4 linked regions of the Callithrix jacchus genome follow. The protein of the gene in region 3 interacts with the protein of the main gene of each other region in a pairwise test. Links are inferred from orthologs where the notes say so. Each region holds a gene or a part of one and is shown on either strand. Other genes may lie near its edges.

Evidence for each region.
Region 1: the proteins of GADD45G (region 3) and LRIF1 interact in binary tests that used the Homo sapiens proteins (3 or more experiments, as listed by UniProt). The link is inferred for Callithrix jacchus from reciprocal best matches to the Homo sapiens genes GADD45G and LRIF1.
Region 2: the proteins of GADD45G (region 3) and ARPC5L interact in binary tests that used the Homo sapiens proteins (3 or more experiments, as listed by UniProt). The link is inferred for Callithrix jacchus from reciprocal best matches to the Homo sapiens genes GADD45G and ARPC5L.
Region 4: the proteins of GADD45G (region 3) and TSNAX interact in binary tests that used the Homo sapiens proteins (3 or more experiments, as listed by UniProt). The two-hybrid records come from large-scale screens. The link is inferred for Callithrix jacchus from reciprocal best matches to the Homo sapiens genes GADD45G and TSNAX.

What each region holds. Positions count from the first base shown.
Region 1 is NC_133508.1:148,886,431-148,893,663, reverse strand, and holds the start of LRIF1 (ligand-dependent nuclear receptor-interacting factor 1), read left to right. Parts: upstream 1-3,209; 5' UTR 3,210-3,443; coding exon 3,444-3,511; coding exon of another isoform or gene 3,512-3,677; intron 3,678-7,233. Other genes in the region: uncharacterized protein LOC144577208, read right to left, coding at 2,841-3,199, 3,460-3,677. UniProt on the Homo sapiens protein: Together with SMCHD1, involved in chromosome X inactivation in females by promoting the compaction of heterochromatin.
Region 2 is NC_133502.1:173,461,564-173,468,864, forward strand, and holds the start of ARPC5L (actin-related protein 2/3 complex subunit 5-like protein), read left to right. Parts: upstream 1-3,277; 5' UTR 3,278-3,358; coding exon 3,359-3,507; intron 3,508-7,301. UniProt on the Homo sapiens protein: May function as component of the Arp2/3 complex which is involved in regulation of actin polymerization and together with an activating nucleation-promoting factor (NPF) mediates the formation of branched actin networks.
Region 3 is NC_133502.1:73,439,831-73,446,398, forward strand, and holds GADD45G (growth arrest and DNA damage-inducible protein GADD45 gamma), read left to right. Parts: upstream 1-3,498; 5' UTR 3,499-3,608; coding exon 3,609-3,661; exon of another isoform or gene 3,662-3,928; coding exon 3,929-4,030; intron 4,031-4,166; coding exon 4,167-4,380; intron 4,381-4,468; coding exon 4,469-4,579; 3' UTR 4,580-5,056; downstream 5,057-6,568. UniProt on the Homo sapiens protein: Involved in the regulation of growth and apoptosis. Mediates activation of stress-responsive MTK1/MEKK4 MAPKKK.
Region 4 is NC_133520.1:53,368,566-53,375,987, reverse strand, and holds the start of TSNAX (translin-associated protein X), read left to right. Parts: upstream 1-3,398; 5' UTR 3,399-3,552; coding exon 3,553-3,568; intron 3,569-3,999; coding exon 4,000-4,104; intron 4,105-7,422.

The DNA.
Region 1 (7,233 bases), on a different chromosome or scaffold from region 3:
TGAATTAACCCAAATGCCCATCAATGATAGACTAGATAAAGAAAATGTGATACATATACCCCATGAAATACTATACAGCCATAAAAAGGAACAAGATCATGTCATTTGCAGGGACATTAATGGAGCTGGAAGCCATTATCCTCAGAAAACTAACATAGGAACAGAGATTAATAACAACAACTAATAATACAAATAGAATGGTATGCCAGCATCACTACTCCTGTACTTTGAGCCATTTTTAAGTAAAATAAGGGTTACTTGATCATAAACATTGTGATACCATGATAGTAGATCTGATAACCAAGATGTCACCTAAGTGGCAAAGATTGTGCCACTGCATTCCTGCCTGGGCCACAGAGCAAGGCTCTGCCTGAAAAAAAAAATTGTAGGCCGGGTGCAGTGGCTCACACTGGTAATTCCAACACTTTGGGAGGCTGAGGTGGGTGGATCATGAGGTCAAGAGTTCAAGACTAGCCTGGCCAACATGGTGAAACCCCATCTCTACTAAAAATACAAAAATTAGCTGGGGGTGGTGGTGGGCACCTGTAATCTCAGCTACTCTGGAGGCTGAGGCAGGAGAATCATCTGAACCTGGGAGGAGGAGGTTGCAGTGAGCCAAGATTGCAACATTGCACTCCAGCATGGGTAAAAGGGTAAGACTCCGTCTCAAAAAAAAAAAAAAAAAAAGTAAAAAGAAAGATATTTAAGCCTCAGTCTGAAGCCCAATGAATTTAGAAGAAAAGACATATATCCTGAGGAATTCAAAGAACCACTGCTGATCATTCCAATTAGTTTCCACTCCAAAAGGCAATTTCCCTGGTATGAGTTATAAACTGTACTGCAAGACCACATTGATAAAAATCAAGTTACCTATTTATAATGTACCAGCCAGGGCAGTTTTCTGGAGGGGATGGAGTAGTGAATTCCCAACATTGGCAGGTAATCCTGCATCTACTTTCATCAGTGGCTCACCTTAGCATGCGTTTTTCCTACCTTGACTTTATCCTGTTTATATCAGGAGCTTGGCTATTGCTACAGGTTTATTTTCAAAGGTGGTTAATGATAATACCTGATGCAAGAGAAAACTTAAAATAATTTCCTTCACCCTCTTCTGCCCATGGTGGCCCTTGGCTTTAGCCTGTAATACTCTACACACACACACACACACACACACACACACACACCAGTTCTGAAAGTTTCCTACAGATTGAAATTTTCACAACAGCTTTTTTTTTTTGGTGGTGGTGGTGGTTGTTGTTGTTAATTCCTAAAATCTAAACTTCTCTTTTTTTATTTCTCCAGATGTCAGCAGTCTATACTAGTTCAACATCTTGATTAGAATCAAGGATTTTAGCTGGGTGCAGTGGCTCATGCCTGTAATCCCAGCATTTGGGGAAGGTGAGGCGGGTAGATCATTTGAGGTCAGGAGTTAAGAGATTAGCCTGGCCAAAATGGGTAAACCCTGTCTCTATTAAAAATACAAAAAAAAAATGAGCCAGACATGGTGGTGCATGCCTGTAATCACAGCTACTCGGGAGGCTGAGGCATGAGAATTGCTTGAATCCAGGAAGTTGGAGGTGGCACTGAGCTGAAATCACGTCACTGCACTCCAGCCTGGGGTGAAAGAGTGAGAGTGAGACCCTGTCTCCAAAAAAAAAAAAAAAAAAAAATCAAGGATTTTCATCCTTATCATAAGAGCAATGTGGGAAACTAATTGTTTTTAATGTAGCGAGATGATACCATCAGATTAGTGTTTCCATAAGGCAGCTCTGGCTGCAGCATTTAGAGGAATACAAGAGTGGATATGAGGCTTTCAGTTAAAGCTTCACTAGACAAAGTAAGTTTGCTCCATAGTAGGAGTAACAGAAATAAAAAGCAGACTTGTAAGATATGTAGAAGATAAAATCTGCAAAAGTTGGTGACGAATTATATATTTTGGAATAAAAAGAGGAATGTGTTAAGGATGACACTGGGATTTTGGCATCTTTAATAGAGGGAAGTTTTTTTTCTTTCTTTCTAGAGATAGCACTGATAAAGGAAAATGTGTAGTGGGGAGAGGAGAAGAAAGTCCTAAGTGTGGTTTTGAACATGTTTCATTTGAAGGGACTTTTAAAATATCAAAAAGGAGATCTCAACACTTCACTTGAACATCCAGTTATAGATCCCAGAGAAATCAGAACTGGGAACATAAATTTATGAGTCACACAGTAGCATAACAGAGTAGGTAAGTATATGGAATGTTCAGCCAGACAACCTGGATTTGGAGCCTGGCTCCATCACTCACAAGCTATATGACCTCTAAAAAGTTTTTTACCCTCTCTGAGCATCAGTTTCTTCATCTGTATATAATAATTCTATTAATCGTTAGGAGTAAACTGATTTTGTAAAAAAATCAGTGCCACGCACATCCTATTATATATGCATTTGGAGGTAAAATAATAGGTGCAGGTGGTAATTCAAGCCAGGAGCATGAATAAAACCACTAAGCGAGACCAGACAGTTTGAGAACAAAAGAGAATCAGTGATCAAGATGTAAAGAACTCCCTTGAAAAGGGAGAGATCTTCGAAAGAGATTGTAATGCACCTCGTAGAGCTCGCTTCAGAATGTATATGACAATAAGCGAGAGGCAAAGCTTCAGGAAAGAGTAGTAAATGAGAAACCTTCAGAGAAGTAGCAACAATAATCGCTGGCCACAGGCAAGCGTCTTAAGTCTTCCCAGGCCACAAGTGTATAATAACAAAAAAGCCCGACGATGTTTTTTAATGCCCTGACGGCAGAGAAAAACTTACACTAGCGGTAGCATAGAAGCAGAAAATTTATGATTGACCCCGGAAACATTTTATTTTGCGTAGGTGTCCGGAGAGCTCTCTTTTGCGATTTGTCGCTTGATCCGGAAGAAAAGATAGCAAACATCACTTGCCATTGGATTGCATCGTAAGGGTGGAACTCTAGCGAACCAGTCACCTTGGCAACCGGACGTGACGACTCCGGAAGACGCCCGACAGAGCTTTCCTTGGCTTTCGGCTTCAGTGGGTGGGGCTGGCACAGCCAGGCTGCCTCTGTCGTCACCACTGACGCGGCCTTGTTGGGGGCGGTGCCACAAAGACCACGCCCCCTGCGCCTGCTCCGGCTGGCTCTGGAGCATTGTCGTAAGCTCTGCAGGGCGGAGACTCGCGCCGATTCTCTCCGAGGGTAGGGCTGCGAGAACGCAAACAAACGCCAGGAGCCTTCCGGTTTCTGGTGGCTGAGCCACCTCTCTCCAAAGCCAGAGAATACACCCTCTCGAGAGCCCGCTGTCGCCCTGCGTTAAGGTCAAACCCCTCAGAATCGCTGCGGGCAACTCCAGCCTAACATTCCCTCGCTCTGGTTCTCGCCCCTTTGAGAAACTCGGCCCCACACTTCCCACTTTCCTGGATGAGGTGTCCCCTTCCTCCCCACTAAAATGTCAAATAACCTACGGAGGGTCTTCCTGAAACCCGCAGAGGAAAATTCAGGCAACGCCTCGCATTGGTAAGTACCGGTTTCGAATCCCTCCCATGCCCGCCCCTCTGTCCGTCTTAGGGATGTGGAGTCGGCCGTCGCTGTGTAGTTAAGAGGATTTGGAGCCCGCAGAGTGCGCCACTCAGGCGGGAAGCACTCCCCACCGCGGCACTTAAAGCCAGTAGAGCGCTTTCCTCTGGGAAACGTAAAACCTCTTTAGAGCCTGACACAGCCCCTCCCCTGGCTCCGCGGGACTCCAGCGTCTCAAGTTTCTTAGGCGGACGGAGTAGATCTCCACGGGAGATGAAATGCAAGATGGCCGACGCCTGTATATGACTCAAACCTTCTGGAAGATTCTTGCGCACACGCAGAAACGCAGCAGTCAGCGCGGATTAGCAAGTGCAGCCCTGGTGGCGCTGGACCTTCAGTGAAAATAGTTACCTTTAATAGTGAGACAGAAAGGATGTATGATTGAAGAAAGATGGCTTTAGAACAAGGAGATTGAATATCTAAAATTTCAAATAGTTTTATATGAAGAGAGAAATAAAAATGGAGAAATCCTCGTGTAAAATCAATCCTTTTGAATAGAGTTTTAGAAGTAGGGTGTAATGAAGAGCCATTTATTGGCTATTTATATTTGACAGGAGGAGAGTCCAGTGTTTCTAAGGAAAATATTCTTGTAAATTAGAAAATAGATTATCAGTAACTTAGTTTATTTTAAAATTTGTATTAAGCGGAAATGCAATGGAAACAATGTTAGCTAAAGCAGAATGTTTTCACTTGTACTCTTACATGGTTGGTGAATGTATCATAGATGATGAGGAAAAAAATAGTCTGCAGACTAATAAAATGAAGAACTAAGACGCAAAACTCACAGAAGGAGATTTCCATTTGAAGAAAATCAGGCTACCTGAGGTTAATCTCAACTTTGCCAGTTAGTATTTGTGAGGCCAAGTACCTGTTTCCAGTCTGTAAATAATAGCACTAAAAGTATTTTAAAGATGAGAATGAAATATGTAAAATATGTAGGAAAATAGTAAAGCACAATTTAAATGTTAGCTGTTACTATTATAAAAGCACAACTCTAACTCTGTACAGATTTTAGCCTAGGAGGTTTCTTTTTTTTTTTTTTTTTTTTTTTTTTTGCGATGGAGTTTCCCTTTTGTTACCCAGGCTGGAGTGCAATGGCGCGATCTCTGCTCACCGCAACCTCCGCCTCCTGGGTTCAGGCAATTCTCCTGCCTCAGCCTCCTGAGTAGCTGGGATTACAGGCATGTGCCACCATGCCCAGCTAATTTTTTGTATTTTTAGTAGAGACGGAGTTTCGCCATATTGACCAGGATGGTCTCAATCTCTTGACCTCGTGATCCACCCGCCTCGGCCTCCCAAAGTGCTGGGATTACAGGCATGAGCCACCGCTCCCGACCTAGGAGGTTTCTTTAATTACAAGTAGATAGTAAACTTAATTGCAATAAAGAACATAAGTAATGGTGACTCCTTAAAAGCATGCACAGTCATATAAAAGGAAATGGCTGCTAATATTAATGAGCTAAAACTCTATTGAAGAACGTCAAGAAAGAACCATTGTATTTCCGATCATAAAAAGAGCCATATTTTGGTATACTCGTGTGTTTTTAATTTTGTGGTCGAAGTTTGGGGGAAGTGACAGAGTGCACTGTGTAGATATGCAAAAGTAGAATTACTTTTTATAATTATTTCTGCTGCTCTGTTTTAGTATGTAAATAATGACATCTGACTTAGCTTAATTTATAGAAAATTTGTTTTAGGATTGCATTTTTAAATATAAAAAGTACTATCAACTTTACTTTGTGTGTGTGTACTTTTAAGTCTGTTACCGTATTTCTAATCCTTTGGGGATTTGGAGACTTTTACAAATTACATTCATAAGTCATTTTGAGTTCATTGACTCATTGATTTATGTATTGTTTTTATTATCTTTGAATATATTTATTTAAATCACTGAGGTTTTACATCATATATTTGTGGCATTTACCAGATGACTTTCTGAAGCTTTGACGTTTACTTTGGTTGACGTTTACTTTGGTTAACGTTTACTTTTGGTTACATATTTGATTTTATTCTGTTTTGTGAGTAACAAAACATCGAAATACAATTTTGTAAATATGATTAACATCAGCCCTTTGAGTTTATTGGAAGCTTAGTTTCCTTATTTTTCTTGTAACATGTTTGATGGTAGTAAATCATTTCTTTTTATAACTTAAATGACTATGATTTTCTTACTGTTTGTAGCTTTAAAGTTTTCCTGTTACTGCTTATTCAAAATTTTTCAGTAGCATAATACAGATTTGTGTATTCTTTGAAGTATCTGTAATTCATCAGAGTATAAAATGTAAAACCCAAATTTAATCTTAGCATACAAAGGAAAAATCTGGAAGATACTCATTTTGATTTGGGTTTTGTTGTGAAAGAACAAAGCAAGAGTCAGAATGCTTCAGTGGAAAGAAGCTTTGAAGTTGTAGAGACTTGGGTTCATATCCTAGCTTACCACTTATCAGTATAGTTTAAACATTTGAATGAAAAAACATTCATTTAGTGCCTACTATGTATGTTATAGACTATGCTAAATGGGAAGACTGATTAAATAATAGGATATGGGCTGTTTCCAGCCTTACAGTCATGATGAAGGAGGAGAGAAGTAGAGTTGATGTGGTAAAGGCAGAGAGTAAACAAAGGGAGTTGGAGGAAAGATTCCAGGAACAGCTGAGTTGGAAGACATAAATATCAGCTATCCAGTTAAAGATGAATGCAGGATATGCTTATGTAGAATACTGGTAAATAAAGCATCTGTATAGTTTATTGCTAATGATTGAATTGTTGCTTGATTCTGTACAAGCAGGATGGGTAGATAGCTCTTAAAGGTTCTGTTTGCCCTGCTAGGGAGATTAGACTTCATCTGTTGGAAATTGTTCAGAGTATTTTAAGAAAAAGACTGACATAGGTGTGCATTTTAGATAACTGACAGCAGTGTGGATTTGAGGGTGAGTGATGAACACAAAGGGATTCTATTTCAGTTGTCTTTTCAGAAATTCTGAAAAGTTCACTAACTGGTGCAGTACAGTAGGGACTGGATTCAAAGAAATACAGAAGGGAAGATAAACCGACTTTGTCAGTGAATTGGCAGGAAGAAAGGGGGGTCAGTTGTGATGCCAGTTTTCTGACTGGTTATTGGTAAATTAACTGAGATGAGGAACACATCAAGATAGCAGTCAGATATTTGGATATGAAACTCAGGCTAAGTCAGAGCTGAGACTAGAGACTTGGGAAGCATCCCCTTAGAGGTACTATAATGAAAGCCTGTGATTATATATTCCACTGTAATAAGAATTAAGATATCATTTGATTGGCCATAGGTGGCTATCTTCACATAACCACTTGTATTCAAATGGGGAGCTAAACTTAAGTGTTCTCAGCAGGGGTTTGGTTTGATTAGAATGATGATGCCTCATTGTCAATTCAGTATGCATTTTGTTGTGTACAGTGTTTTATTTTGTGATTTGTATGAGTGCATCTGTATGTTTGTGTGAGGGAGAGACAGGCACACGTACTACAGTCTGAATGAAATCTGTCATTAATCTCTCAGTTTCTACATTTGAATTTTTTGGACCCTGTTATTATGGGGTTTTGCTAAAGTAAATAGAAAAAGTAGATAAAATTTCTCAAGGGGAGTGTGTAATTCTAAGTAAGTTATTAAATATTTCTAAATCTCCATT
Region 2 (7,301 bases), about 100 Mb from region 3:
ACGGGGTTTTGCCATGTTGCCCAGGCTGATCTTGAACTCCTGAGCTCAGGCGATCCGCCCGCCTTGGCCTCCCAAAGTGCTGGGATTACAGGTGTGAGCCACCGCGCCCGGCCCCCAGCCTTTCTTTTGAAACAGGGTCTCGCTCTGTCACCCTGGCTGGAGGACGTGATCTCCACTCACCGAAACATCCACCTCCTGGGTTCAAGCAGTCCTCCCACCTCAGCCTCCTGAGTAGCTGAAACTACAGGCACATGCTACCAGGCCTGGCTAATTTGTGTTTTTTGTAGAGATGGTGCCCAGGCTGGTCCTCTGGGCTCAAGCGATCTGCCTGCCCTGCCTTGGCCTCCAAGAGTGCCTGGGATTATAAGCATGAGCCGCCTCACCTGGCATACGGCCTTTTTTATTTTTTGAGAGGGACTCTGGCTGTCACCCAGGTTGGAATGCAGTGGTGCGATCTGGGCTAACTGCAACCTCCACCTCCCCAGTTCAAGAGATTCTCTCCTGCCTTGGCCTCCTGAGTAGCTGGGGCTACAGGTGTCTGCCACTACACCAACCTGAATTTTTGTATTTTTAGTAGAGATGAGGTTTCACCATGTTAGCCAGGCTGGTTTCGAACTCCTGACCTCAAGTGACCTGCCTGTCGCAGCCACCCAAAGTGCTGGGATTGCAGGCGTGAACTACCACACCTGGTCAGCATGGCTTAGTTTTAAATGAAAGTCTAATGGTGCAGGGTGGCTTTGCTCTTATATTTTCCAAATGCTTATAATCGTGTTAAGGGCTCTGCACATCTTTTTTGAACCTCAAGTCATTTGTGACTCTTTCTCTTACACACCACATATAGTCAACCAGCAAAGCCGGCGTACTCTAACTTCAAATTTTACCCAGCTGGAGGTCAGGTGCGGTGGTTCATGCCTATTATCCTATCACTTTGGGAGGCCAAGGTGGGTGGATCACCTGAGGTCAGGAGTTCGAGACCAGCCTGCCAACATGGCAAAACCTTGTCTCTACTAAAAATACAAAAAAAAAAAAAAAAAATAGCTGGGCATAGTGCCGTATGCCTATAATCACAGCTACTCAGATGGCTATGGCAGGAGAATCACTTGAATCCTTGGGGCAGAAGTTGCAGTGAGCCAAGACTGTGCCACTTCACTCCAGCCTGGGTGAAAGAGCAAAACTCTGTTTCAAACCAAAATTTACCCAACTTGTTCCCACCGTCCTCATTGGCCCCCCACCACCTGGCTTGGGCTACCACTGTCTATCCCCAGGACGGCTGGTGTCACCATTTAAATCACCTACGTTGGTTCTTGATCCTAGATGTGTTCTCAATACAGCTGCTTAGAAGGCCCTTTTCAAACAATTCAGATATCTGATTATTATATCACTGCTCTGCTCAGAATTTCCAGAGCTGTCCCATTTGAATTAATACTGAGTCCTTTCCTCAGCCTACAGAGCTCTACCCTCTTCCCAACCCCCATCTCATGTTTCTTCAGTTCCTGGCTGTTTCTGGAATATACTGAGCCCACCCCAATCTCTGAGCCTTCGCTTAGTTGCCTCCTTCATTTCCTTTCAGTCTCTCTTCAGCATCACCTCCTCAGGGACACCTCTTTTTTTTTTTCATTTTTAAGACAGAGTCTTGCTCTTGTCGCCCAGGCTGAAGTGCAGTGGCACAATTTTGGCTCGCTGCAACCTCTGCTTCCTGGGTTCAAGCGATTCTCCTGCCTCAGCCTCCTGAGTAGCTGGGACTACAGGTTAGCGCCATCTTGCCCAGCTAATTTTTGTATTTTTAGTAGAGAAGGTGTTTCACCATGTTGGTCAGGCTGGTCTCGAACTTCTGACCTCAGGTGATCTGCCCAATTTGGCCTCCCAAAGTGCTGGGATTACCAGAGGAGACTTCTTCAGCACTAGTTTCCCACTATCGGAGTCTGTATCCTTACCACCCAAGATTAGGTTGCATCATAGTCTGGCAATATTTTTTTGATCTATAGACACAGTTCAATGAGAATTATTCAAAGCAGTAAAAATGAATCGCATTCCAACTACTGACCTTTATTATAAAGAGTACTATTAGACAAAAATAGTTTTCATACTATTATATAAAAAGACCCATTTTACCCTAAGGCTAAGATCAATTAACAGAATCCCTGGGGTAACAGTCCAGGTACCAAATCTGGCACCTCAGTCATCGCTGACTTCCCTAACCCCCTTCCCCGAACTCAGATTCTGAGAATTTGGCGTATATCAAGGTATCTCTCTCCAGCCAGGCCTCTCCTGCCAGGACGGTGGCCACAGGGCCATCTCCCTCTCCTGGCCACCCCCAACTGCCTGGCCAAGGTGACTGCTACACACGTAGGGTGGCAAAAACGTCTTCAGCATCTTGTCAGTCCCCTGGACACACTAAATGTCTTTATTAGTTTATTTTTGAGACGGAGTTTTGCTCTTGTCGCCCAGGCTGGAGTGCAAAAGCGCGATCTCGGCTCAGTGCAACCTCCGCTTCCCGGGTTCAAGCGATTCTCCTGCCTCAGAATCCCAAGTAGCTGGGATTACAGGCATGTGCCACCACGCCCGACTAATTTTTTATTTTTAGTAGAGGTGGGGTTTCTCCATGTTAGGCTGATCTCGAACTCCCGACCTCATCCACCCGCCTCGGCCTCCCAAAGTGTTGGGATTACAGGCGTGAGCCACCGCGCCCGGCCCTAAACGTCTTTAAAGTCTCCCACTCCTTTAACAGAGTCACTTTTGTGTACAGGCGGCCTCCTCGGGCTAAGTGTGGTGGCGTTCAAGGCTCCGAGACACAGACCCCTCCCGGTCACTTCCCGGGCCCAGGAACTCCTACTCATCCCTCAGACATCAGCTCGAAGGTTTCTTCTCCAAGAAGCTTGTCCGGGACTCGAGAAGTAGAGCCGCGAGCCTTCTCCCAGGAGCTCAGTGTTCCCCAGTCGGGGCAGATCTCAGCCCGGCAGCCCGCGCCGGGCCTTGCTGAGGCAGGGGCTCCTCGGAGGCGCGGGAAACCCGGAGAACGAGCGCAGTTACGGCGCACACGATGCAGGGCCTGCATGGATACCGGACGCCTGCTCCCCAGCGGGAAAACTGAGGCAGGGCAGAAGGTACACTGCGGTTGGGAAGGTCGCGGAGACCCTCCAACACCCTTCAGGAGCCGAGCTCCGCCCCGCCCCTGACAGCGCTTCCGGATCCGGCGTGGGCCGGAAGTGGGCGGGCGGCGGCGGCTACGCGCGTAGGCGGTGGAGGAGGTGCTGGAGGAGCCGGGCGGCCGCTTCCCGCCCCCGAGCCTGAGCCGGCGCGAGCGGAGCGGAGGTCGGGCCGCGAGGGGAGCCGGCTGAGCGGGCGCCGAGCTCCCGCCATGGCCCGGAACACCCTGTCCTCGCGCTTCCGCCGGGTGGACATAGACGAATTTGACGAGAACAAATTTGTGGACGAGCAGGAGGAGGCGGCGGCGGCGGCAGCGGAGCCAGGCCCGGACCCGAGCGAGGTGGACGGGCTTCTGCGGCAATATCCTTCCCTGGCGCAGCGGCCGGGCCTGCGCGCAGCCTTTCTCCTTGCCCACCTTCCTGACCCCTTCCGGGCGGACCTCCTCTATCCCCTACCCCTGGCTCCCACGGGTCGGCCTCCTACTCCCTGCCAACCCGGCTCCCCTAGGCCATGCTTCCCTGAGTCCGGGTCTCCCTGGGTCCCTCATCCCCGGCCCTGGCGCCTTCCTCGGCAGCGCAGCCCCGCAGGTCCCTGGACCTGGTGGACCGCCTCCCTCGGCTGCCCTGCGCCCTCTTTCCCCGTTGCCTCCTCATCCCCTCCTGCTGTCCCTTCCTGGGAGCCCCAGCACCCCCGTCCCTCCCTTGCAGGAAATCGGGCTTGTGGCGGGGCTGGGTCGGCAGCAGGGCGGAGGTGAGCCGCATCTGAGTAACCGAGTGGTCAGGGAGGCTGGGGCGCGGTCCTCCGGGGCTTTCCGTGACTGGGCTGCCCCATGGCGTGAAGATAGGTGGGTGGACGGCGGTGGGGAAGACAGGACCCAGGAGAGAGTGGAGGCGGCCGCCGTAGCTCAGCCCTGGGGTCAGGTGCTCCTCCTCCCCCAGTCAGTCTGATCCTCCCTCTAATGCTGAGAAAGGGGGACCCTGTGGTTCCTCTGGACACCTTGGTGGTCTCAGCCACGCTCAACAAGGTAGTCTTGGCTCCCCTCGGTACCCTTCTGGTTCAGGAAGCAGCAGAAAAAACTAGAGTTCAGAGCTAAGAAAACCAGACACCTGAAAGTGAAGTGTGAAAGTGGAGCCCCACGCCTGGAAATGACTGTTACTGTGGCCACAGAAAACAGCATTTAGAAAAGATTAAAAATAGAGGTAATAGTCACAGCCTTGCTTGGTCCCTTAGCAGCATGAGCGCAGGAAACTGACTTATTCTCTCACCGGAAGGATTTGTCTTTATTCAAACGCTGTTCCAGGAAGCGTGTCCCCTCCCCCTGCACTGGCCGGGGCAGGGTTGGAGGCCCCTGCTGTACATAAGTCACGTTCTCGGTGTTGAGCCATTTGACTCAGCTTGGAAAGTGGGGCCTGCTGCTTGAGGGGAGCCCAGCAGTGCTCCTCAGTGTGCCTTTAAAACGAAAACCTTCAGACTTGGTTTGAACCGGACTGTGTTTTCATAAGTGGAGATTCCAGCTTGTAGTTCCTGCCCCATCAGGATCTTCCAGTCTACCCTACCTGTAAAATGGGGTCAAGGGAAGGGTCCCCAGAAGGGAAGGTTGGTTGTAGTCTGGTTCAGGTCCTGGTTCATGACAGTCAGTGCTGCAAGGGCTTCAAGGTCAGGCCTTTGGCCAAGGACCCTGACTGAACAGATGAGGAGACCACGCCTGTCAGCTGCTGCTTTGCTCTGGGTGCAGAGGCTTGTTGAAGGTCATGTCTTGGGACTCCCCTGCCTGGTGACAGGTTCCTTGAGGCTGCTTAGAGGCCTGGGCTCGGCACATCCCAGGATGGTCGTTTCTCCATTCATAGCAGCGTCAGAAACCTTGTTACCAAGGAGAGTGTTCCACTTGGGGCTGAGGAAAGGGAGGTTAGCAGATGAAGAGAACTGAAACCCTTTCAAATACAGGGCCAAGGTAGGGAGGAGAATGGAACTCATATTTGAGTCTCTATCATGTGCCAAGAATTGGGCTTACATTAGACCACTGAATTTAAAGTAGGAACTTCTGAATGTCTGAGGACGGGAGCAGAGAGACGGGTGGATGGATTGGGGTGGGGAAGGGCAGAGAGGGGCCCTGTCCTGGGGCTATAAAGGGAAGTGTGTGTGGCAGGAGATCACGAAGATGGAGTAGAAGGAACCCTGCTAGGCATGGGCACACACCCAGCACTATCATGCTCTGACTGTGTGACCTCGGATAGGTCACATGCCCTCTCACAACTCAGCATCCTCCTCTGTTATGTGGCAGACAGCCATGCTAGCTTCCTAGGTTCCGTGGGAGCCTCGTGGGCTAACAGCATCACTGGGCACACAGCAAGTGTCCCAGACATGCTCAGATCTGCAGATAGATTGGCGGCACGGGATTGCGGGAAGAGCTTGGGTGTGAGGGCCGTGTAAATAGCTTAGTTTTGTGACCTTGGGCAGGTAGTTTCCGTTTTCTGAGCCTCAGTTCCATTGCCTTTAAAATGAGGTAATGATTATTGTCACAGGGAGTTTGGAATGAGGTGGCGTGTGAAAGCACCTGGCACAGGATCCGAGACATTGTGGCGATTTAAAAGTATTAGTTCCTTTCCTTCTCAGTGAAGCCGCTTCTAGACCTCTGGATCAGCGATCTGTCTAGAGCAGTGGTTTTGAGCGATACATTTTGATGGTTTCAGCTTGGGTTTGCCACTGGAATCCAGTAGGCAGAGGCCTATGACACGCAGCAAAGATCCCGCATCAGAGAATCCTGGGTCCACAGTGTCAGTTGTGCTGTGATTGAGGAAGATCTAGAGGAGACCAAGGGCTGGGCAGGGTTCCGCCAGCACCACAGCTTGTTCTCTCAAAGGGCCTAAAGCCAGCCAAGTATGAGCACTGGCTTCAGGAATGATAGGTGATTTCAGGGAGGCCCTCCCTGCGCCCCAGATCTCCCAGCTGCTGAAGGCCCTCACCCATCAATGGGCCGAGTGATTGCTGGACACGCTGTGCTGAGCGTTAATTCCACAGCAGTGGCTTTCTGCCCCCGTGGACTAGTTTTATCCCTGCCCTTCCCCATCCATCATCAGAATGATTTTGTTTGTCCGTTGTGCCAGGTTTACATGAAGAGCAAGCAAGCCTATGTTTCCTGTTCGGCCTCTGGGATCCTGCTTCTTGCTTGGGGACACCACATTAGAAAAGAGTTGCAAGGTAGAGGTTGTCCGTGGCTGATATCAGGCTGGCCTTGTTTGGATGGGGAAAAGGAACTCCAGAGCTGAAAGACACTCCCAGCCGCCTCTCGAGTGTGGAAGGTGGATCAGAGCCAAGCAGGGAGCTGGGGAACCAGGGCTGGGAGTGGCTTGCCTGGTGGCTTGGACCCAGATCACACAAGATGGAGCTCACACTGGGGAAGCCAGGAGATTCAGCTCTGCTCCGAAGGCCCTTCCTGCCTGCACGTGGGTATCACTGCATGAAGAGGAGTAGAGACCCGATTGGGCAGAAGCCATTCCTTGTTCTATTTTTGAAGCTTTTTGGCTGAAGCCAGTGTTTCACATGAGGAAATGAAAGTTGGCTGATGTAATTTAGTTTAAAATAGGTGTCACCTTTGGGGACCTAACCCAGATTGTAATTTTCTTTTGCATGCTGGGTATTCAGAACTCAGCAAAGAATTTATTGTCAGGACTGCAGCTGAGGTTGTGGGGAGGGGTAGAGATTGGTTCATTGTTGGCAAAAGCTTCTTTTAGATGATAAACTCTTTCCTGGAAACAGTTGGGACCTCACTGATCTCGATGGCTGTTAGAAGTTTTAGAACAGTTTAATTTCCTTTATAGTTTAATTGATAAAGAGCATTGATGAAAAGTTAGGAGGTCTCCTTTTCCCTTTTTTAGAATGGGAACAATCCCCAGTTCACATGTACGGTTGCTGTGAGGATCCGGTAGGGGCGATACCGTGCCCAGCACCAGGCAGGTGCAAGTGAGCACACAATGGTTTTACAGCAAGCTCCCCCTCCAGGGCAGTTGCTTTGAGGGGGAAGGTGGAGAAGGAGGAAGAAGGAGGGTTTGCACGGTTGGCAGAGGTGCCCTGCACCCTCCGCGGGCTGTAAACACCTGCCCTCCTGGAAGCTGTGGAAAGTGGGTGGTATGGATGAGATCCTGTCTGACTCTGTT
Region 3 (6,568 bases):
TTGCAAGCACAAATGTCTGCAGGCAACAGGAAGGTGATGCAAATGAACAAAGCAGCCGGGTGTCCTCAGCTGGCCTCTGGTGGGGACTGTGGTGAAAGGGAGAGCAGTGCCCAGTGCGAGATCCCAGTGCCCCAGACCCCTGCTGAAGGTTACCAAGGTGGGGAGGGGACTCTAGGCACATGATGGCCAAATCTTCCCATTTTCCAACAGAAGCTAGAAATCCAGGTGTTTATATGAATGCAGCTAACTTGGAAAGGTGGCAGTGAATTTGACTTTGCCTAAGATACCTCATAGGCCAAAGAAATCCTACCCGCAGTCTGCATGGGGCTAGTGTGCGGCTAGCTTGCATCCCACAGCCTCTGGCGGAGCTGTAGTGGCTTCTGGCACATTGCTTGGATAGGATAAGGGCATATGCCTGCTAGTTAATGACATATAAGTAACTTGTGAAAATACAGTAAGAAATGTCTCATAAAGCTTAGTGCTTAAAGCTCACCCTCCTTCTGTACCCAAATGAAAGTTATCAGCCCATCAATGACCTAGTTAAGCCATGAAAGAGTGACAAGCACATTCCAGATAATGTGTTAATAAAAACATTTCAACTATAAACATTTCCAAAAAGGTTTTAAAACAGAGCACCTCTGAGGATTTCCCTTTAAGTAAGTCACCATCATCTGCATTATAGAGGCTTAGGGGAAGGTTTAGGGGTGCAGTCACAGGAACTCAGGACATCTCAGCCACCTGTGACTTGAAGCACAGAGCAGGCCAAGTCCCTTGCTGCGTGCAGTTTGGGAGAGCTGTGGCCACAAAGCTGTGTAGTGGGACAGTCTGCATCATCAAACTTCTAGTGAGCATTGCCTGCTCCCCAACAGGGGGGCATCCCAGGCCCAGAAGCTTCAGCATGTGTCTGAACTGAAGGTTGGTGGTGGGTCTGCTGGAAGGCCAACTTTGCCTGCAGACAAAATGGTTCTTCTCTAATTGAGATGGGGGCTTTGGGGCCATTGGGACTGACCTAATAAAGCAAAGTGAGGCTGTATCATAAGTCGAAAAGGCAGTTTCCTGAAATTGAATACCTTAAAAATGTGAGCAGAGTAGAACAGCCCCAGGGGTTGTCAATCATCCCTCTTGGTCCAGGCTGGCTCAGGAGGGACGGGAAATGCACCCACCCCCAACCCAAATCCAGGAGTATCCAGTAGTGGCTTTCCTCTGGGACGAGGGGCTGAGGCGTCAGGTCTAGCCCTTGTTTTCTCTTGCCTGGCATGTGGGCAGAGTTCTAGTGTTATGAATTGGAGGGGTGGGGTGCCAGCATGTTAAGTAAATCTTATTTCCAGCATTGCCTGGGGACCTGGAACTAATACATTTAAGAATCTTCCCATTTTCCTGGGAACAGAGGTACATATTAAACTATGTTTAATAGTTGTAAGAGTAATACCTGTATTCTAATCACTTAAAATTAACATATTTTATCTAATCAAGGCATGTAGTCATTTTATACACCAAGAAAGAAAGAAAAAAAATTAGCGAAGAAACGTAGCAAAATGCCGCCTGTCCCCGCTCCCCCTTACTCCCGCCCCAACTCGCCGTCCTTACGAGACACCTTCTGGAGTTCAGAAACGCTACAGCAAGCTCTTGCTTTTTAAAATCCTGGAAGCGAGGGGCTTTTGCAGCTCTCCTCCGCGGGGAAGCCGCTGGGAGGCGCAAGAAGCCAGCTTCTCACTTTGGCAAAAGTGCCTGCCCCCAAGCGCAGAATGAAAACTTCCCCGCAAGTTCAGAAGTACTTTGTACATTAACCACCCACCTGAGAAAGCCTGAATGAAAGGAACAAAGCCTCGCCGTTGTTTACTTTCCCATTATCGCCCTAGTCTTGCTGCAGGGCCAGGGTTTCCATCGAATCCGCCCGGCCCGCCATTCTCCCAGCCAGTTTCCCAGGCCTCACCCCAAAAAGGGGAGCAATGAGGTGACCCCTGGAGCGCCCATCCACGTAGCTCAGAAAGGTACAGACACCAAAAGTGCTGCGCTCAGTGGGTGAACCCTCTGAAAGTGCCAGCGTGTATGGTCAAGCGACAGCAACCTCTAGCCTGTTAAACTCTCCCAAGATTTCTTCCAGACTTACTCTATTGCCGGAAAAAAAAGAATTTTTACATATGCGTATTTAAGTAATTAAAGTATTTCAGCACAGCGTAAGACAAACAGGCTCTTACTCCATCAGCACTGGATGGGAATCTCCTTTCGCCCTCTACTCCCCGCAGTTACTTTGGATGCGATTTGCGGCCCTTAATCGGGTTCCTGTTAATGTTGGACAGGGCTCAGTGGGCCTGGCCGGGCAGCTCCGTGTCCGCCCCCCACCCACCGCTCTTCTCCCGCGCCAGGCCAACGGAAGGGTGTGTGTGTTGGGGAGAGGGGAGGAGAAAAGGGGTTTTAGGATCTTTCGAGCTTGCCTGTAGATGGCGCCCCGGGAAAGAGATTCTGGCCGCGGGGTTCCGGCCAGAGGGCGTCCAGCCTTGTAGACCGCGCACCAGCTCCCAGTCCTTCCCAACTAGCGCGACTGCTGGGCACCCGTGCGAGAAACGGGTGGAAGGGAATTACATGTAGCAGGGCCAATACGGGGGCGCGCACTCAGGGACCACGGAGTGGCACGCAGCCTCGACCCCACGCGCCGGGCAGCCCGGCGACCCCCACGCGCGGCGGGGGCCTGCCCGCCCCACCAGGCAGCAGGTGGACAGTGTTGCTATGAAGAGAAAGCCTGGATTGTCCCTACTGCAAACCGCCACACGCCAGACCTCTGCTATTGTGCGCCCTCCATAGAAATGCAAACGAGCGGCGTGCGCCGGCCGCAATCTGCTCGCCCCCGCCCGCCCCCCTCTCCGGCGCCCAGCGGTGCTCGGCCAAGGGCGGGGAGGTGGGGTAGGAGCTTCCAGCGACAACTCAATGTATACATTGAGTGTGCGTGGGAGGCATCGTCGGCGCTCTCCGGACGCTAGTGGTCAGCTGCAAGGGGCTGTGCCCACTGCCTTTTGCAAGCCCCTAACTGGCACTGCTTTTACCTTAATTTCCGGCTCCAATGCAACAGTTTCATAAACTTCAAATTAAAGGAAAGAAACAAATAGAAAGGTAGCAATAAAAATAAATGCCAAAAAAATTCCTTTTGATTCTATAAAGGTGCTTTTCGCAAATTGCAGCAACCTATTAGCAAACAAGGTTTTTGTGGGTTGGTTTTTTTTTTTTTTTTCTTTTTCCTTTTAAGGACTTCAAAAAAAAAAAAAAAAAGGCGAGATGAAATCTGCAGGCTCTAGTCTGCCTGGTAACACCCCAACAAAAGCGGCAGATTTGAGGCATTGTCATCCCCCGCACCCCTCCCCACGTGGCCTTCTGGCACGAGCCGCCGGCCCGCCGCCTCATTTACATCAGAAAGCGGGTGCCGGCCAATAGGCGCACAGCCTCGCGCCAGCTGGCGGCGCAGCACCCTCCAGCCTATATAAGGGCGCGCGGCGTAGCAGGGGCGCAGTCGCTAGTGGTAGATGAGCCGAGCCGAGATCTAACTCACCGTGTGTTCTCCCGTGCCCCCTCCGCGCTCTCCGCTTGTGGATAACTTGCTGCTGGTCGATCGCGCTATGACTCTGGAAGAAGTCCGTGGCCAGGACACAGTTCCGGAAAGCACAGCCAGGTGGGTCTCAGGGCTGGGAGAAAGCGGCTGGTCGGTCGGCGGCCTTCAGGGCCCTCCAGGGTGGGAGTAGGAGCCTGGGGTATCGGCGTAGGAGCCGAGCGCTGGGGTATCGGCGGCAGATCCAGGTTGGAGAGGTTGGGTGCGGGCGCCGAGCCGGGTCTGGAGTGTAGTTGGAGTGCCACGGGTGCGTCCGGGTGCGTCCGGGTGACCGGGGCTGGGGGCTCCTACCCCGACCGGCTCCGGCTCACTGTGCTGGCTCCTCCGCAGGATGCAGGGTGCCGGGAAAGCGCTGCACGAGTTGCTGCTGTCGGCCCAGCGCCAGGGCTGCCTCACTGCCGGCGTCTACGAGTCAGCCAAAGTCCTGAACGTGTAAGTGTAGACACTGCCAAGGCTGGGATACCGGGGCGGGGGTGAATGACTAGGAGACGGGCGGATGGGAGGGGTGGCGGCGGGAGACCTCTGCTCGCGGTTTCTGACCTTGGTCCCCACCTTGCTGCCCTCGCAGGGACCCCGACAATGTGACCTTCTGTGTGCTGGCTGCGGATGAGGAGGACGAGGGCGACATCGCGCTGCAGATCCATTTTACGCTGATCCAGGCGTTCTGCTGCGAGAACGACATCGACATCGTGCGCGTGGGCGATGTGCAGCGGCTGGCGGCTATCGTGGGCGCCGGCGAGGAGGCGGGCGCGCCGGGCGACCTGCACTGCATCCTCATTTCGGTGAGTAGAGTCCCGTCCCGTCCCCGCCCGGGTGTCGTTCCCGCCTCGGCCGGCTGCCAGCCAGGCTGACCCTGCTCTCTCTCCGCAGAACCCCAATGAGGACGCCTGGAAGGACCCCGCTTTGGAGAAGCTCAGCCTGTTTTGCGAGGAGAGCCGCAGCGTTAACGACTGGGTGCCCAGCATCACCCTCCCCGAGTGACGGCCCGGTGGGGACCTTGGTCTGATCGACGTGGTGACGCCCCGGGGCGCCTAGAGCGCGGCTGGCTCTGTGGAGGGGCCCTCGGAGGGTGCCCGAGTGCGGCGTGGAGACTGGCAGGCGGGGGGGGGCGCCTGGAGAGCGAGGAGGTGCGGCCTCCCGAGGAGGGGCCCAGCAGCGGCTGGGCCAGGCTGGCCCGAGCTGAGGACTCTGCAAGTGCATGGAGCGGGCTGCTCGCCCAGGAAGGCCTAGGCTGGGACGTTGGCTGCAGGGCCGGGAAGGACAGACTGGCCGGGCAGGCGTGACTCAGCAGCCTGCGCTCGCAGGAAGGAGCGGCGCCCTGGACTTGGTACAGTTGCAGGAGCGTGAAGGACTTAGCCGACTGCGCTGCTTTTTCAAAAACGGATCCGGGCAATGCTTCGTTTTCTAAAGGATGCTGCTGTTGAAGCTTTGAATTTACAATAAACTCTTTGAAACAAACTTATGCTCTTTATTGAGGGTAGGGGATCTTTGTGTCGGGGGAGGTGGTGAGCAGGGTTTCAGAGGATTGCTGGAACTTCGTGGAACTAATGGCACCTGTTCCGTCTTCCTGTCGGCAAGAATGACAGGCTCGTCGGCGCTGGCAGAGGAAGGGCATGCTGCCCACTGCTAGGGTAGAGCTTGGGCCCAGCTCCTACTTTTCTCCTTTTAGGTAGATTCTAAACTTGCAAAACAGGAGCGTATTTTAGATAAGACATCAGTGCAGCAACTAAAGCCTCGCCTTCCAAAGCGATAACAGTGACCTCTGCCTCCCCTCCCCCTCCCTCGGTCCCCCTCCCCCTCCCTCCCACAGCTGCTTATCTGAACAGCTTGCTGGAGGCCGCAGGCTTTCCTGCACAATGAGCATTGCCTTCTGCAGACCCTGCCCTTTGTGGTCCCTGAGGACGGTGGCAGGCTGCTCCTGCTCTTGGGGACTTTTTCCTGTTAAATGCTCTGACACAAAGCAATGCTACAAAGGTATTAATACCAAATATGACATTGATGACTGCATTTAAGTATGAGTCATTACTTTGTCGTGGCTGTGATAGAACTTGGAAGATCTGAGAAAAAATTGGAAGGCAGCATCTATATAAATAGGCATGAGCAATTCTGAGGGGGCCTGGCATCTGCCATCTACTATTTTGAATGTCCTCTGCCCACATCTGAGTTATAAGGATTGCTGCTATTCACAATTCCACTTAAAGACTCACAGGAAAGAAAAAATGAAATATTTTACGCCAAGACTTTCTTTAGAAGGATCTAGGGGCAAATCTCCTGATGGAATCAATCTTTTTGTTAGACCAATATGACTTGAGTTCATTCCGTGCCTGACTAGCCGCTTTCAGCAGGAGAAATACATGTGGGCTGTTGTGCTGTCAGCTCGGCTGCCAAGCAGGCTGAGCCTTCTGGGCAAAGGAGGTGTGGTGTGCCGTCTTCACTCCTTGGGGTGGCTGATTTACCTCATGAAGTGCCGCTGCCTCAAATTCTCTCCAAATTAGGAGCATTCTTGAGGTAGCAGGAAAACTTGACTGAATTACTTTTCTTGTAATGAAAGTATCCATGTATCAGCTCTTAAAAGCATCTACTCCTCAATGAGACGGAAGCCCAGATAAAAAACTCAGTTGTGTTTGTGCCCAATTTTCATTACTATTTTACCTATTTGCTGCTTGAATCTCAAAGTTTTCTTATTGAGGTAGAGTCTTGGGCTGGGCCTGTCTAACAGTCTGTATTCTGGCAAAATGACCAGAACATGCCATTATAAACACAAAGTGGACATGATTAAAATGGACCCTTAAATTAGTAAATTCAGCAGAACATTGCGCAGAGCAGGTAGGCAGACCCTCCTGCTGGCCAAGCGACCCTTGTAGAACATGAGGTTGGCAGCCCTTGGCTTTTTGATCAGAGCTTGCTGTGAGGCCACTTGTTGGAGTCTCAAGGGCTAGGAGAATTTGCAGGGGAAGAAATGCATGGTGG
Region 4 (7,422 bases), on a different chromosome or scaffold from region 3:
AACATCCTTTTCTCCTACTACATCCTAGTATTGCTTGAAAAATAAAGCTGTTAATTTATTTACAATAAAGGTAATATGTACACTTCACAAAACTACTTTGGACCCCATAGATATCTTTTAAATATTATGGTTATCTTTTAAAGAACAGAAACTCTAGATTCTTACAATTCTCCATGATCTCTCCTATCCCAGGATTTAGTTATTTATGTAATAACTAAATAAGGGAAATGCTGAAACAGAGAATCTCTTAATTATCTTCTTCTCTTTATGTGAATATATGATTTTTTTTTTTGAGATGTTGTCTCACTGTCGCCCAACTGGAGTGCAGTGGCACAATCTTGGCTCACTGCAACCTCCGCCTCCCAGGTTCAAGCAATTCTCCTGCCTCAGACTCACAAGTAGCTGGGACTACAGGCCCACCAGGTGCCACCACACCCGGCTAATTTTTTTGTTTTTATTTTTAGTAGAGATGGGGTTTCACAGTGTTAGCCAGGATGGTCTCGATCTCCTGACCTTGTGATCTACCCGCCTTGGCCTCCCAAAGTGCTGGGATTACCAGAGTGAGCCACTGTGCCCGGCTATGATTTTCTTTCAATATCCAAAACCAGTTTTTGAGGTTAAGTCTTGCTCTGTGGCCCAGGCTGGAGGTCAGTGGCACAGTGTCGGCTTACTGCAACCTCTGCCTCCTGGGTTTAAGCAATTCTCCTGCCTCAGCCTCTGGCGATTACAGGTGCATGCCACCATGCTCAGGCCATTTTTGTACTTTTTAGTAGATACAGCGTTTCACCATGTTAGCCAGGCTGGTCTTGAACTCCTGACCTCAAATGATCCACCTGCCTTGGCTTCTCAAACCAGTTTAGATATGTGATTTTAATCTAAGGGTGACCAATGAGAGGATTTATGAACTGAGTAACAACAGTGCAATTGAAAGGCTTAGTGCTTTATTCAGAGTCAAATACAGGCAATTAGAATGCAACAGGAGGCCAGGCACAGTGGCTCACTGTAATCCCAGCACTTTGGGAAGCCTAGGCAGGTGGATCACTTGCCCAGGATTTTGAGACTAGCCTGGGCAACATGGCGAATCCCCATTGTCTCCACAAAATACAGAAAACAAAAAAATAGCCTGGCTTAGTAGCATGCCGCCATAGTCAGAGGATCACTTGAGCCCGGGGAGTCGAGGCTGTAGTGAGGGAGCCATGTACTTCGTACTGGGTGACAGAGTGAAACCGTATCTTGGAAAAAAAAAAAAAAAATAGCAACAGTAACAAGTAAAAACAACATCAGAGGTGAAATCTTACTAAAAATCTTTACCTTCCTCTCCCTGAGTTGGGGTGGTAGTCTTCCTTTAAAAAACAAACCAAAAACCATTTGCCAAGTACCAAAACTATGTGTTTGAATCTGAAGCAATAAAACAAGGAGACAGAGAAGGGATGCAGGTTGCTACGGACGTTGAAATCTATTTCCCGAGGAAGGAGTAGCTACGAGTTGGGACACCTGGGGGAGCCTGGGGTAAACGCATATGCAAATAAGTGCTGGGAAAGTGATCCTGGGATTCACCTCCCTTAAATACTTTCAGAAGTCTTTATAGGTTGTGAAACTTAGTGTTCTAATCATTACAATTATGGTAAAGAGTGGAAAGCAGTTCAGGTAACATAGCTGTAGTTGAACAGGCTAGGGGAGTAGTGGCTGGAGAAAGAAAAGAAATATAGTTGATTCCGGTTTTGGAAAGTTGAGATCTTGCTATTCCAGGAGAGTTAAAAAAAATACCCCTTTCTCCGACTATGATACAGTAAAGTAAGAATTGACTCTGAAAGTGTTCATAAGTACTGGCTTCCTTGATCTAGAGGGAGTCACATTAAAATGGCTAAATTTGTATCAGAGCTGCCTTATTTTTTTTTTTTTTGCATGGTCAAGTGATTTCTAATCAGAGTAGGGGGAATACCGGTAGATCAGACGTCACTCAAACTCATGAGAATTATCTGTTCAACATCCGCAAAGCAAGTAGTCCAACAAGCAGGGGCCCCAGGAGCCTACTTTATCCTCAAGGAATCTGTTCAGTTAATTCATGTATTCACAGAGCTGCAGAGGTATGAGTGGTGGTGACCTTCCTGCCACAGCAGACTGTGCCTTGTAGTTACTGCCATATTCTAGCCAAGTTATTTCATTTACTGTTCCTTTGTTCCTAAATTACAAGAAGAAAAGACTGTGTGTACAACACATGACTACAATATACAGATTATTTGGAGAAAGCTTAAAATGTACTTGTGTTTTCTCTACTAGGCCTAGGGCACCCCACTTACCAAACCTTGGCCTGAGTTTCTCTCTAGGGGGTGCTGAACTGCCACCTACTTACCCATCCTGATGCCAGAAACATGATTCTTCAAGAAACATTGATAGAGGCTTACAAGGCGCAGGATCACAGCGCTGAGAAGCACTGGGGCTAGGGTGGGCACAAAGTCTAGATATGACACAGTACCTGCCCATAATGAAAGGCCCACAGTTTAGTGGAACACACCTGCTTTTACCTTTCTCTCTGTCGTATTGTCTGAGAGAGCCCTGATGGAAGAGGAGTACGGCATCTAATATTTAATTGAGCATTTATATGTGAAAGAACGTCTTCACGAGCCTTAACTCCTTTCATCCTCAAATAACCCTATTAGGCGGGTACTATTCTATCCCTATGTTACAGATAAGGAAACTGAGGCACAGAGGTTGCTTACTTCATCAAGGTCGCCCAACCACTCTGTGGAGGCAAACTGAACACAGGCTGTTTGGCTTCTGCGAGCCAGTGGGGAGGAGGGTACAGAGGTCGGTGGAGAAGGGAGAAGGTGGGAGACGGGCAGGGGAAAAGGTGGGAAGAGACTCGAAGGGCAGGCCTTCACGAGAGAAAACAGTACTAGCACCATCCACTGAATGACTCGCATATCTCCATCCCTTAAAGCGCCTGGGAAAGTTAAAATAAACTCCTAGCTCTGTAAATTTCTGCCTGGATCCTGAAAAGACCTTCCCAGATGCCCCGAGGAACTCGAGGGCTCGCTTCTTTCTCACACCTCTGGCTGGGGCTCCAGAGGGCCCGCTCCCGCGGACGAACTACAACCCCTACGATGCACCGCGCGCGAAGTTGGGCCCCCGCTGAGGGAAGGGTAAGTGTCCCGAAGGTGCCTTCAGAAAATAATTACGAACGTTTTTGTCGCTTTCCCACGATCACACAGATCTCAGCTCCAGGAGGTCGCATCGTCTTTTTATTAATAGTGCATGCCGTGAGGTGTGTAGAGTCGCTTTTGTGTCTTCAGGCACAGCAGAGGGCGGCCGCGAAAGCACGCGCGCGCGGGGTCCCCCGACCACGCGGGGGGCGGAGCCAGAGGCGGTGGGACCCCGGACGCAGGCCGGAAGTAGGCGAGGGGCTACTTCCGGCCACTGAGTAGTAGTCGGCCAGGCTGCAAAGGGCGCCTCCGCTAGCTGTTTTTCTGGGTTCGGTCGGCCTGCACTTTGCGCCGTCCTCTCGCTCCAGGTCCTTCAGTCTCCGCTTGTCTCACTGTAGGCTGTGACGACATGAGCAACAAAGAAGGTGGCGTCCTCAACAACATGGGGCGTTATTTATCCAGAGGGGGAGGTTCTCCAATCTTTTTAGGCGATTTTCCCCTTTTCACCCTTGGAGGATGCCTTCGTCCCTTGCAGACTCGGGGACGGCAGCCCTGGTTCTCTCCCCGGCCGGATTGTCCCTGTTTACACCTCCCTTTTTGTTAAATCTTCGAGGTGTAATTTTATGCTAGTTCAGTAATTACTGTAATGCCAGACCAAAGCACCACTTGGTGGAGGCTTGGATGGTTTGCTTGGAAAGGCCTGGGCAGCATCTCTCTCAGTCTGCGGAGAAAGCCTCTTAAGTCGAGGGCCCTGTGGGTATCTGGTTTTAAAGGGAGGTGGAGGTTTGCCGACGTTCTGTTTTGCAAACTCTTGGTGATGGAAGATTTCTCTAACTTTTTTTCTTCTCCACATAAGGATCAGGAGGGTTCAGGAAAAGGAAGCATGACAATTTCCCACATAACCAAAGAAGAGAAGGGAAGGATGTTAATTCATCTTCACCCGTGATGTTGGCCTTTAAATGTAAGTTCTCTGCAATGTAAGTAGGTGAAAGGGAGAGAACAAAATTATTTAGCCATGGTTATGCGCAAGAAAACAGTCCCTAAGAATTACATGTGAAAATTTAGCTGGAGGTTTTGTGATGGTGCTAGATCTACCCTAAAAATCTGGATTCCAAAGGCCTTCACTTTTATGTCCCATTAAGAGAAATACTAATATTAGTAATCAGGTAAGCATGACTTAAAACACAAGAAACATTAAACATTAGCTAATATTAGACATGCCACATACTCAAGAATTGTGTACCTGATATTTACTCATGTGTTATATGCTGGAATATATTTTCATTTAGTTTATATTTGTTTCCTCTACTAGACTTGAAGATAGAGACGGTATCTTTGTTTTAACTGTAACACTTTGCACAGAATGGGAGCTTGTTATCTATTAGTAAATCTTGTACATCTATATACATATATTTTCACAGTCCCCTTTTGTCAGCGTATTAACTTGGACAAGTTATTCCTCATTTCACAACAAAACAAAATCTCCTTTTGTCCCCTTTTATCCATTATTCTATATCTTATATTTCTGTGATTAAGGAATCTGGGAAGGGCTTAGCTGGTTAATAATTCCAAATGGCAATCTCCTGAAACCTTGATTCTGAAACCTAGATTGAGGTGGAAGGATCCACAGCTGTTGACCGTTTGGGCCTTTTGTGTGCAACTGGCTCTCTGTTTCTGTCCACATGGACTTCTTGTGCTGCTTACGTGCCCTTGGGTGTAGCATCTGGCATCCTTCGGACAGAGAGAATGTGCAAGAGTGCAAGGAGGAAACCATAATCTCATTATGTCCTAATCTCAGACATCAGACACTGTCATTTTTGTCACATTGTATTTGTTAGAAGGGAGGCAGTTAACTGCCTCACTTCCTCAGACAAAAATGGAAAAACTAACAAACAAAAACCAACAACAACAAAAAAACCTGCCTCACATTGAAGGGGAAGGAAATTATATCCCACCCTTTGGAGGGAGGAGTCTCAAGTGATTTGTGGATATATTTTAAAACTACCATAGTATCTACTGTGATCTTCAGAAATTTAAGACATCTGGCTGTAATTGAATAAAGGGCATAGTGATACAGAAGGTGTGGAGTTGCTTCTAAATTGGTGTCCTCATTACCCATCTGCTGAACTAAATTTTCTTTTCTTTCTTTTTTTTTTGTTTTTGAGACAGAGTCTCCCTCTGTCACACAGGCTGGAGTGCAGTGGCATGATCTCAGCTCACTGCAAAACCTCTGCCTCCTGGGCTCAAGCCGTTCTCCTTCCTCAGCCTCCTGAGTGGCTGGGACTGCAGGTGTGTGCCCCCATGCCTGGCTAATGTTTTAAAAATATTTTGTAGAGACAGGGTTTTGCCATGTTGCCCAGGCTGGTCTTAAACTGCCAGCTCAAGCAACCCTCCCGCCTCGGCCTCCCAAAGTGCTGAGATTACAGGTGTGAGCCACTGCGCCTGGCCTGAACGACAATTTTCTTTAAGACTTAGCTCAAGTTGATTCTTTCCTGTGAACACATTCTGATTTTTCTCTCAAGCCGAATTGGTGACTAACATTATGAAATTTTTATTGAGCATCTGCTGTGTTCTAGCATGTATTAGTAGTGAACAAGAAACGTGGTGTCTGCTTTCCCAAACCTTTTACATATATTTGTTATAGCATGATTACATTTTATTTGTTTACATCTCTATCCCTTATACAGGCCTGAGTTTCTTGAGGATAGGAACTGTACCTTATTTTGTGTTGATAGTATCCGACTTACAGTGGTCATTAATACAGCCATAATAAATAATGAATACATATTGATTATCTTGAAATATTAGGCAAAATCCTGGCCTAATTATTATCTCAGTAATAAAAGACCAGATATATTTAGGTCCTTGTCAACTACTAATTTAGTTAATAGTTTAAATAAGTTCTTGTTTTTTTCTGGTTCATGTAGTATACCTGATTTGGTGGGTGTTTCCTATGGGCCAGGCAACTTTTGGGGCTGTGAAGTGAAAAGACTTCTGAAATAAGGCATAAGAGAGTTAAGCGGTTAAAGGGTATTTCAGTGTACAGAGCTTGATAAGTTCAGAAACTTTACACTTGAAATTTGCTAAATAGACAGGTCTTACATGTTTTTACCACAATTAGCTGGGCATGATGGCGTGCGCCTAGCTGCTCCGGACGGGCTGGGGCAGGAGGACTATTTGAACCTAGAAGTTTGAGGCGGCAGTGCACTCTAGCCTGGGCAACAGAGACCCTGACTCAAAAAAAAAAAAGAGGCTAACTGTGTGAGGTAATGGATATGTTAATTAACTTGATAGTGGTAATCATTTCACAGTATATATCAAAGTGTCACAGTGTTTATTATATATATATACACACACACACACACACACACACACAGGTATTTTGGTTTTTTTTTGGAGATAGCACCTTACTTTGGCCCGGGCTGAAGTGCAGTGGCACGATCTTCATTCACTGCAACCATAGCCTCTTGGGCTCAGGTGATCCTCCCACTGCAGCCTCCCCAGTAGCTGGGACTACAGGCATGTGCCACCATGCATGGCTAATTTTTAAATATTTTCTAGAGACAGGGTCTCACTATGTTGCCCTTGTAGGTCTTAAACTTCTGGGCTCAATCAGTGCATCCCCGTTGGCTTCTCAAAGTGCTGGGATTACGGGCATGAGCAACCATGCACAGCCTTAGAATTTTTAACTGTCAATTATACCCCAGTAAAGGTGGAAAAGAAGGCAGGAAGTCAAAACAGGGGGAAAAAAATTAATAAATTTGAAAAAAAGTATAAATTTCTTTTTTTGGAGATATTTATATTATTATATGTGGTTAAAGTAACTTTTAAAACTTTAACTTTTTGTTATATAAAATTAATTTTTGTTTAATTACATAAAAGTAATTATGTATCACTTTGTGATAATCTCTTGTTTACTAAGTTCCTTTTTTTACAACTTGTACAGTATTCCCATTGTGAGACTGAGCAGTAAAACCCAGTTAAATCATACCTGTATTTAAACAGGAAAATATTTTAGTTACTCGAAGAGCCTTTTTGATTTCCATGTAATTTAGAAATAGATGATTTTATTCTCATCATTTTTATAAAGTATATTATAGTTGCTTTCTTACATATAGAGGCAGTACTTTTAGGTACAGACTGTTTCTGCCTTCGCAGTGGCTCATACTTGTAATCCCAACACTTTGGGAGGCTGAGGTGGGTGGATCACGAGGTCAGGAGTTCAAGACCAGCCTGGGCAAGATGGTGAAACCCCATCTTTACTAAAAATACAAAAATT